3 linked regions of the Rattus norvegicus genome follow. The protein of the gene in region 3 purifies or fractionates together with the protein of the main gene of each other region. This does not show direct contact. Links are inferred from orthologs where the notes say so. Each region holds a gene or a part of one and is shown on either strand. Other genes may lie near its edges. The genes, in order: Mapk3, Pgrmc1 and Dusp9.

The links.
Region 1: the proteins of Dusp9 (region 3) and Mapk3 purify together in Homo sapiens (affinity purification with mass spectrometry; 4 studies listed by BioGRID and IntAct, with this or other methods). This does not show direct contact. The link is inferred for Rattus norvegicus from reciprocal best matches to the Homo sapiens genes DUSP9 and MAPK3.
Region 2: the proteins of Dusp9 (region 3) and Pgrmc1 purify together in Homo sapiens (affinity purification with mass spectrometry; 3 studies listed by BioGRID). This does not show direct contact. The link is inferred for Rattus norvegicus from reciprocal best matches to the Homo sapiens genes DUSP9 and PGRMC1.

What each region holds. Positions count from the first base shown.
Region 1 is NC_086019.1:190,795,656-190,799,405, forward strand, and holds the start of Mapk3 (mitogen-activated protein kinase 3), read left to right. Parts: upstream 1-1,538; 5' UTR 1,539-1,572; coding exon 1,573-1,745; intron 1,746-2,662; coding exon 2,663-2,845; intron 2,846-3,750.
Region 2 is NC_086039.1:120,704,331-120,707,328, reverse strand, and holds the end of Pgrmc1 (membrane-associated progesterone receptor component 1), read right to left. Parts: intron 1,803-2,998; coding exon 1,699-1,802; 3' UTR 524-1,698; downstream 1-523. UniProt on the Homo sapiens protein: Component of a progesterone-binding protein complex. Binds progesterone. Has many reported cellular functions (heme homeostasis, interaction with CYPs). Required for the maintenance of uterine histoarchitecture and normal female reproductive lifespan.
Region 3 is NC_086039.1:156,501,942-156,505,691, reverse strand, and holds the start of Dusp9 (dual specificity protein phosphatase 9), read right to left. Parts: upstream 2,456-3,750; 5' UTR 2,273-2,455; intron 1,698-2,272; 5' UTR 1,663-1,697; coding exon 1,200-1,662; intron 706-1,199; coding exon 250-705; intron 1-249. UniProt on the Homo sapiens protein: Inactivates MAP kinases. Has a specificity for the ERK family.

The sequences.
Region 1 (3,750 bases), on a different chromosome or scaffold from region 3:
CGAAAAAAAGAAAAAGGAAAAAAAAAAAAAAAGAAAAAAAAATGGTTTGGGGCTGGAGAGATGGTTCAGCGGTTAAGAGCACTGACTGCTCTTCCAGAGGTCCTGAGTTCAATTCCCAGCAACCACATGGTGGCTCACAACCAACTGTAATGGGATCTGATGCCCTCTTCTGGTGTGTCTGAAGACAGCTACAGTGTACTCACATACATGAAATAAATAAATCTTTAAAAAAAATTTTTAGCATTCTTATGGTAACATCTTTGCTTACCTAACCATCTTACTAGCCTCGATCCAGGGTCTTGATTTTGCTGTTTGGCACGCGCACGTGTGTGTGTGTGTGTGTGTGTGTGTGTGTGTGTGTATCTGTGTCTGTGTGTGTCTGTGTGTGTGTCTGTGTGTGTGTAAGAGAGAGAGAGAGAGAGAGAGAGAAACAGATTGTACATTTTAATTGATTTAGTTATCTTTGTTCACAGTTATCACCCTTTCCCTCCTTCTCATATGAAGTGGGCTGGGTTGCATGTCCTCCAGGCAATAACACTGGGTCTCAGAACACACCTGAGCCCACTGCAGGCCTGCCTCTTCACAGGAGCATACCTGACTTCACAGCTTTCTAGTGCTGCCTGCCATCCACCACCCTTCAGACTGCTTCCTCACTATAACACTTAGGATAAGCCCACCACCACCACAGGGGGGCCCAGCAAACGTGGGTACTTCCTACCAAGTCTGACAGCCCAAGTCGGATACCTAGGACCTGCACAGCAGAAGGAATCTGATATCCTCTGATCTCCACACAGGCTCTGTGACATACTCATGCCCCAACACACAAAATTAATAAATGTGGCAAATAAACGAATAAGAAATTATGGAATCTGGGCATTGTGATACAGTCTTTAATCCCAGCACAGGGGAGTTAGTATGCTGAGGCCAGCCTGGTCTACATAGTGGGTTCCAGGACAGCCAGTTCCATGTCAAGAGACCCTCTTAGAAAAAGGAAGAAAGAAAGAAAGGAAGGAAGGAAGGAAGGAAGGAAGGAAGGAAGGAAGGAAGAAACGAAGGAAGGAAGAGAAAAAAAGAAAAAAAAAGAGAGAGAGAAGATGGAAATGTGGCTCAGTGATAGGATTCTTGCCTAACATCCAGAATCTGCATGATGGCTCAGGCCTAAAGGTAGGAGGATGTGGCCAACCTCCACCACATAGAACCTTTGGGGCTGGCCTGGATTAATACTGTCTGCGTAAATGAAACAAAAAGTGAGAGGCAGGTCTCCAAAGTTTAGGGGTGGGTTCCCTCAGCATCACTCAGGGCCACTGGCCCCTGGGGCTGCAGTACTCTCTAGGCAGACTAAAGTACCCTAGTGGCCAAGGCAAGGAAGGAACAGCGTAACTAGGCGGGAAAGCCGGGCGCGCTCTCAGTAGACCACGTGACATCGCGGGCCCGCGCAGGCTCGCCGGGCAGGCGCGGGGGCGGGGCGCGCGGGGGCGGGGGCGGAGCCTGGCGCGCGGCCCCGCGGTGACAGGGCGGCAGGGAGGGGCGGGGCCGCGGGCGGGGCAGCGGGGGGAGGCGGGAGGAGTGGAGATGGCGGCGGCGGCGGCGGCTCCGGGGGGCGGGGGCGGGGAGCCCAGGGGAACTGCTGGGGTCGTCCCGGTGGTCCCCGGGGAGGTGGAGGTGGTGAAGGGGCAGCCATTCGACGTGGGCCCACGCTACACGCAGCTGCAGTACATCGGCGAGGGCGCGTACGGCATGGTCAGGTGAGGGGGTGTCCCAGGAGGGGGCTTCAGAGCGGGGACAGCAGGTGCGTGCCCGGGACATGGGGTCCGGGGAGTGTCGCAGGGGAGGGATCGTGCAGTGACTTCTGGGGGACCAGGAGCTACTTTCTCCGGGAAGGGGGGTTGGAGGCTTGGAAGCCACCTTGTATTGTTAAGGGAGGGGCACCTGGGGGACCCTAGAGATACAGGTGGAGCTAAGAGGATGACTATTCTTGGTGAAGGGGGAGTGAGAGACCCATAAGCAGGTAGTGGGAGCCTTGGTTCCCCCCTGATGAGGTTGTGACAGAGTTTGAGAGAGCAGAGCAAAGCTCAGGGTGGGGCAAACCTTTGCACCCCTGCCCCTGGCCTTGCCAGAGGCCCAAAGTAGGGAGGGGTCTCTAGAATGTGCCTTATTTTGTGGGATACAGGTTTGTGAGTTCTCGCTGCCCCACTCTGTGCTCTGGGCCTTTGTTCCTATGGGAACAGCTCTGACCCAGGAACCTCACCGGGAGACAGACCTACCCCTTCTTATCTCTTCCCCTGTCCCATTACTGAATCCTCTGGGTTTCATCCACTCTCTCCATTTAACTCCCATCCCCTGGACCTGTCTTGGATTGAGAGAGTCCAGCTCAGGAAAGGGGAGGAGGGTGAGGGCAACTACAATGTAAGAGGGTCCAGGAGAAAGGAAGTCAGTGAGTGGCCACTCTCTTCCTCTGTTTGTGAAGTCACTGAAAGGCTGCCTGGCTGGTCCCCAGCTTTCCCCCTGGAGATTCCAGGCCTTCACAGCAGGAAGGAGCCAGCATTGTTTACACTTGGCCAGAACCCTCTCCTGCTCTCTCCGGTCCCTGCCAAGGCCTGGGTGGGGCCACCAGGCCTGGATTCCCCCTTTGTAAGGCCACACATCTCTCTGGCTCTCTCAGCTCAGCATATGACCACGTGCGCAAGACCAGAGTGGCTATCAAGAAGATCAGCCCCTTCGAGCATCAAACCTACTGTCAGCGCACGCTGAGAGAAATCCAGATCTTGCTGCGATTCCGCCATGAGAATGTCATAGGCATCCGAGACATCCTCAGAGCACCCACCCTGGAAGCCATGAGAGATGTGTATCCTTTAGCCACAGCTCCAGAGCGAGGCTAAGGAGCTTGGCTTTGCTTTCTGTTGTCGTCTGTTGTGCCACCCTCAAAAAAAAAAAAAAAAAAAAAAACCAAAAAAAACCAAAAAACTTAAAAACCCAGCAAAGTAACTTTTTAGCTGAGAGTCTACGGAGCAGAAGAGCACCCTGGCAGGCCTTGGATCCTGGTCTGTTGCAGCCAAGTGGAGTGGCCTTGAACACATCCTTTTCTGCTCTGTGCCCCAGTATGGTGTGTGGGGAGGGGAGAATGCTGGGCAAACCATCTCTATGGGAGCTTTGTCTTCTGACATCTGCAGTTCTGTGACATGACCCAGTCTCTGCCCACAGCCCTTTCTTGCTCAACAGACTCACGATTCTTTAGAGACCTCACACTGGATTGAAAGCGAGGAAGAAAACCAGCATTGGGCATGCCTAGCGCTTTGGTTCTAATTCAACCTTTTAGCTTCCCTGTGTGATGAGCTTTACCGCGTCCATTTCTAAGATGAGGAAACTGAGGCTCTGTGTTTTGCTGGGCCTTCTGTGGGGGAGGGGCGATACTTTCTCCAACGTGGAGAGGGTGGAGGCTTTCACACCACCTTGCATTGTTAAGAGGAGGAACCTGAAGACCCTAGACTCACAGGGCGGAGCCACGCCTTTGCACTCCTGGTCTAGCCAGGGGCTCAAGGAAGGACGAGGGGCCCTGAGAGTCTGCCTATAGAAGAAAGCCTAAATTCAGCTGTTCCTGTTTGTTGCTTCCTCTTCTTCCCCAGTTGGCTTTCTTGGAGCCTTCCCACTCTTCTGAGAGCCCCACCCTGATTACCTGCGGCCTTGTACCTTGACCAGGAAAGGTAGTCCAGCCCTTGTTGCCCTTGCTTGACACTGCTTGCCTAGTTCAGA
Region 2 (2,998 bases), about 36 Mb from region 3:
TCACTACATAGCCCAGGCAGGCCTTTAACGTAATCGAACACCCAAAAGTTAAACTCCATTTTAAGCTACAGTCAAATGACAAAATCTGATTAAGAATATTAAACTTATTCTTCTGCGAATTTTACACATATATACCATGTGTCATGATCATATCTAAACTTTGGCTCTCCTGAACCCTCCCAGCATGTCCCCAGTAGTCTTTAAAAAGCTACCCCACTACATGTAATTATTGCTACCTGTATGTGCACACAGGTACAAGGTACTGGAGCATGAGGAACATACTAGCAGCCACGTTCAAAGAAAACTGACGAGCCCCACTGTAGCTGCCATCCACTACCAAAAGCTCCTCAGCAAGTTGGGATTATAAACTGCTCTTCAGTTGGGGCTTGGAGTTTGGCTGGCTTCATCTTGCTGTGTGTTCCTGAGTGCACCAGCCATGTCATGACTGGAATCAGCCATGGTACCGCACTACTCCCATCCCCAGTTCTTAGGTTTAAAAAAAATTAAAGCAAGTTAGCCTCTATATTGGGCAAAACCGTTTTATTAACTGACCCAAGCACTTCATTTTTTTTCTGATTTGAGGTAAAACCATTAAACACAGCTCACAAGAAAATACAATGACTATTTAACTACAATTACAAGAGTCTGAAACCTCACTAGTTGTTCAGATAATACTTTTACAAATGTATACAACTGCAGAGTCTACTTAAGCTAGGTTTAGTATTAACCAAGAGTATTATCCAAGACCTAGACACCTGACTACTATTTTTGAAGCGACTACGAGTTTTGTAACAACAGAAGGATTTAACTGTTACCTTAGGAATGTATTTTCCTTTCAAAATCACCCAGCTAGTGCCATGTAGTGTTTTCTCATTCTTCAGAGATGTCAGTGGAAGCTTTTGAAAAGCGCACACCTGTTCCTGTCCTGTATATTGCTCTCAAATTTTACATTTGGCCAATAACCACATAACCATTGCCCTGCTACAAGCAACAGATTTTTCTTTTGCAAAGTTCTACCTTGAATTTTCAGATTCTGTTGTAGTTCCAACTGCCAATTACCAGGTGTGTGAGAGTTACTGTGTGTGGGAGTGTCCACGTGGGGACAGGGATGATAAATCAGTCCATGAACACAGGCAATGTGTTTGCCCCAACTAAACCCATTATTGAGTTTTCATTTTGTTACTGGACTTCTGTTTTGAATCAATACCACAGACTTTGGAACACTGCAGTTTTGCTTTAGAGGTAGATAAAACAAAAATCATGCAGTTAAGTCTGTTGGGTAAAATGGGCTTGTTTTCAGACTATAGCATGGCTAAGACCTTCTCTCTTCATTCTTAGTACATTGACCATTTTGGCCACTGTGTGTGTGTGCACTTGCCATTTTGGCCAGTTTGTGGATAACCCAAGTTTTCCCTCTCAGGAAAATAAAATTGTAATTCAGTTTTAACTACAGATAGAAGAGAAACAGCTTTACCATTTGCATTAGAGCACTGAAGTTCACTTTCTGGATTTGTGACGTACAAACACATCATGCATTCTAAGACGAGTTGATTTTATCGGTGTCACTAGTGATGTTACTTAAAAAACTTACAAGTTCAAAACTTCTCTAAATATTGAAATCACCATGTTGTAAAGACAGACTGGAATGTTACAAATGATTTTGCAAAATACAAAAATAGATATGCTCCACTGACTGCTTCAGTCACTCTTCCGAGCAGCCTCATCTTTTGGTTCTTCATCATCCGAGTACACAGTCGGCTCCTCCCCTTCCTTCAGCAGTTTTCCCACGTGATGGTACTTGACTGGAGGTAAAGGAAAAGGAAAAGACAATCGGTCATTCTCATGACTTACAAAAAAAAAATCACAACATTTCATTTTAAAGCATTTATGAGAGGTCCACACATTATACTCAGCAATGTCTTAGGCTTCTGGATAGATATAAAGGGATTATTATATCATACTCTTTGCCAAAAATGGAATTAAGAATTTTGTTCAAAAGACAAAAATACAAAGTAGTAACCATGTAGGAAGTATTTATAGTAAGATCTTGCTATGAATTGGGGGTGGGGGGATACATGGAATAAAGATATGCTTTGGGAAATGTATGGACAGAATTTGGGTGAAAGGTATTTCCAGAAAAATGAGAACACATTCAAAGGCACACAGACAAGACAGGGCATATCTGGGAAACAGTGAGAACATGTTGTCAGGAGCAGAACTGGCATTTGGAAATAGTAGGAGGTAAGTCTGGCTAATCAGTGTGTGGGAATATTAGGAAAGACCTGAAAAGCCATCCTGAGAAATCTGAACTTCACCTATAGGTGGCAAAGGTACTGAAAGTTTGTAAGAGAAAGAATGACACAGCAAAATAGCACTCCAGCAATGTTATCACCCAGCTATGTAGGGCAGAATTCAGTAAGAGCAGTTGAGCAGGGTGACCAGGAGGCCTGGTATGCAGAGTCAGATATGAAGGAACCACAGAGAGGAGTTGGGTAAGACCATTAGAATTAAAGTAAAAGGATATGGGACAGCTTCAAAGAAACCTGGAAAGATCCATTAATGAAGCAGCATCTGGACAGCGTGCGAACCAAAATGAGGACTGCAAAAAAGGAGCCACCCTAGAAGGCCACATGAAAGGAGAGCCAGAGCAGGAGACAGAATTGAGAAATTAGTACCAGACAAGGATCCGGGAGGGATAGAAAGCTGAAGCAGTGCTTAGGGGCAACTTGGAGTATCTGTTAGTCCATGACAGGGGTCGGGGTCTGTTAAGTACATAGGCAGGACAGCAGGAGACAGACATGTTCCCCAGTGTGGGAAAAAGCTATGAGTAATTAAAGGAATGGCAAGGGACTAGGAAGGGACTGAAGATGTAGCCAAGAGGTGTGAAGTCAGGATTAGCAAGCTCCATTATAACCAAGTGAATCCAGGGTTAATGCACATTTCCTTTTTGAAATGGGGAGGAATGAGAGGAGTAAGGAACCTGTCTAAACAGGTAACT
Region 3 (3,750 bases):
ACAGAAACACCCCCTAAGGGTCACCATGAGTGAGGCCAAAGCTAAGTGAATTTCTGGGGTCATCATCGTTGTCTCCCCACCCTGCTTAGAGCATATCTGGGAGGTCTCACTGGTAGCTAACCTGAGCTCTACCCCCACCTCCCCAAGTGTCACATGTGCTCTGGGAATGCAGAGAGTAAGGAGGAGGTGGCCAGGAATCAGTCTGGTGGGTGGATAGAGTGGGCTGGGGGAGGGGTAGGGAGGACTCACCTATGAATGCAATGGCCTCCGGAAAGAACTGAGACAGATTCTGGCTCCAATGATCAGAGATGGGGATCTGCTTGTAGTGGAAGTCACCATTCTTCTCAAAGAGGTTAGGAAGGTTAGGGGTGACATTGAGGATATAGCGGATGCCAAGCTTGGCAAGGCTTTCCAAATTGGCTGAATCGCGAGCACTGCCTAGGTAGAGATTGGGCAGGATCTGGGCTGGGAAGGGTGGTAGCAGCCCAGCTGGAGGGGATGTGGTGCTCTCAGAATCTAGGCCACAGCTCAAGGTGTCTCGGTCAGCCTCGGACTCTGCATCAGAGAAATCAGTGCTCAAGCACAGGCCACCAAGCCCTACCACAGGCACTGGGCTAGACATTGAGCCCAGGCCTGAGCCAGCGCGACCACTGAAGCTGGTTTCACACAGGTGAGGACACTCGGCCTGGAATTTGCTGAAGCCGCCTGTCAGGAAAAAAGGGTGAGGTCTTACTAACATGCCTTCCTGGCAGCCAGGTATCCCTGGCCTATACAGCTCCCCGGATTGGGGGTTGCAGATATTGCTAAGGGGAACACATAAGCCAGCAGATTCCTTACACGTGCTATGCTATGGACACCCATCCACCCTCGCTCAGCATGGCAAGTGCCCAATGCAGCCCTTAGTCCCGGGGCAATAGCCTGTGACCCAGGTTGTTTCAGATCAATTCTCCCCATTTTCCAGATTTATAAATGGGCTTGGAGGGATGAAGGACTTGCCCAAGGTCATGCTCATCTCCCCACCTCCAAAAGCTCTCCAGCAGCTTATTGGAGGGAGGCCCTTACCCTATATTTTAGACAAAATAAGACTGAGTTTGCCGAAGGTTAAATTAATTATGAACTCCCCTTGGAAAGAAGGACCTTTTCTCCCGACCTGAGGCCTCTCCAGAGCGCTCTCTCTCAGACCACTGACCCTCACTTACCCTGTAGGTAGTATGCTGGGTAGCCTTCTTCCCGCAGCTTCTGGAGCAGGATGCCCAGCACCGAGTCAGCATCCCACTCTTCAGCTTCCTCTTTAGCCTCGGCTTTGGCCTCCGCTTCGGCCTCGGCTTTGGCCTCCGCTTCGGCCTCGGCTTTGGCCTCCGCTTCGGCCTTAGCTTCAGCCTCCGTTGCTTCGGGCTGACACTGGCCACTACCCTGGTCATAGAGGATCACAGGGGCCGGTGGCGGAGGCTGCACCGGTGGCCCAGGCAAGAGCGACCGCACCAACATGCTCCCTCTCCGCAGGCGGCGCAGCATCAGCGAGGGCAGGGCCACGCTCAGCGCCCCGCAGATGCGCGCCGACTCATACAGCTCCCGGCTGCGGCAGTCCAGTATCAGAAGCTGTGGGCGCGGGGACGACAGCTCCTGACGCAGCCACAGGCATGACCGACTCAGACTCTCCATGGTCGCGCAGCGTCCTGCACGTCGGGCAGCGGGCGCTGTGGAGAGAGTCAAGGCGCGGGGTGAGGGCAAGTTTTCTCTACTCCCGCAGCGTGGACCAGGCTACTGAGGCGGGAAGTCAACCCCTGTCCTGAGGGAAGGCGCTCAGTGTCCCCGCAGGGACATTCCTCTACCGCCTGCTTCTCTCCTCGCGCTCCACCCACAGTGAGAACACCAAGGAAGGCGCCCCGGGAAAAAGACCCGAGGCTGCCGCCACTTGGGCGCTGTTCCCTGCCCCGCTTAACACATGGAGTTTCAAGAGATATACCCCAGAAGATAGCTAGGCGTCTAGCGGCCTCTTGAATGAAGGCATTTTCTGAGGTGCTAGGAGGACTAAAACCAGTTCCCTCCACACCCCTTTTCTGACTTTCTCATTTACTCTGATCTCCATCACTCCCCAAGTTCGATTTTGGATGGGTGGAGAAGTTGGGTTCAAGGCCCGGCTCTCCTCTCTAGCCGGGAAGACCCAGAGAACAAGAGGGTCACCGAGGTGATGGGCCTCGGCGAGTCCCGTCCCGTAAGAGCTGACTCGGCCCCACTCCTACCCACCCCAGGAGAGAACAAAAGGAGAGACCTGGAGCGAGATCCAGAGGCAGGCGGCCAAACGCGGACGTCCTCACCACAGCTAGTGCCAAGGCAGGGCGCAGGTATCGTTCATGGAGACGGAGTCCCCAGGCTCCGGCGCTCAGAGAGGGCGGGGTGGTGGAGCAGGCTCGCACGTGGAAGCCAAGCCTCGCGCCACTCGTGCGCTGGCCGCTTCCTGGCTGCCGGATCCAGATTCCACCTTGGAAGGCTCTGCCTTCGGACGGACTAAGTAGCAGCTCAAAGGGGCGGGACGGGGCGGGGCGGTGGGGCGGTCTCAGGGGGCAGGCGAGCCAACCAGTGCTAACGAATAGCCTGGTGGGAGTTGCAAACCTCAAGCTGAGCTAGGGCTTCCACCCAGGCGGGACAGGGTCGGGGCAGAGGCCAAGGGCAGGTCGGGGGCCCAGCAGGGGACATGTTGCAGTTGCCCCTGCTTGGCGCCAGTCTGGTCCCTGGAAGCAGGAAGAGGGGTGGGGACAAAAGCCCAGAGCCCCAGAACCAGAAACTGTCTCGAACAACTCAACAATCCTGATCTGGAACTAGATGGCCCCCATCTGTATAATGGGCTAATCGGAGCCTTCTAAAGTGTTCTACTGTGAGATGCCACTAAAAAACTGAAGTGACAAGGCAGTTCCCGGGTGCGCTATTTCCATCTGGGCTTCATTTGTACAGGTCTAGCTAAAGGTACGCAGGAATTCTGAGCACTCGACTTTAAACTGAGACACTGTGCTCTTATCAGGTGAAGGCGGGCGCCTCCCCATAACATCTTTCCCATAACCCCCTGGATGGATCCACGTGGAGGGAAGTAGTTTTACTGCAATATGTCCCTATCCCCATGCTCCTTCTGGCTTTTGCAGTGGTCATGACTATACATGTCAGTGTCCCAGTTTCTGAAACTTCAGCTTGTCTCCACCCTGCCCCATTCCAGAGCACTATTCAGTCCACAAAGGCTAGTGGCCTCCAACCAGCCCATCAGACAGGTAATGAACAGGAAAGACACACAAGGGCTCTCCTTGCCTGGGTCTTCCAGTCCAGCAGGACACACCAACAATAAGCAAAGGCACTGGACCAGATATCGGGGTGATAAGTGCTGACAATGAAAGGAGAGGCAGGGGAGGCTTCTAAAAAAGCCCCATTTGGCCATGTGTCCTTTCTCTGCTAAAAGCCCAAGAAAAGCAAATAACAGCGTTAAAGGAAAACACACAACAGATAAGATAAAGCTCGCACAAAATAATCAAAGGGTTAAGACCCCGTAGATAAATGGGTAAGGAACTCAAGGACTGCATACTCTGCCCGAAGGAAGGAATGTGATGGGGTAAGAATATTTGGGGAAAGGTTGAAGCTCAGGCAGGGAAGGAAAGCCAATTCAAAAAAAAAAAAATAAGGAAATACTTCCCAGTCACGACATTAGTAGAATGTTCTCAAAATGAGACCGCCAAGAGTTGGCAAGGTTGCTGTGAAACACATGTG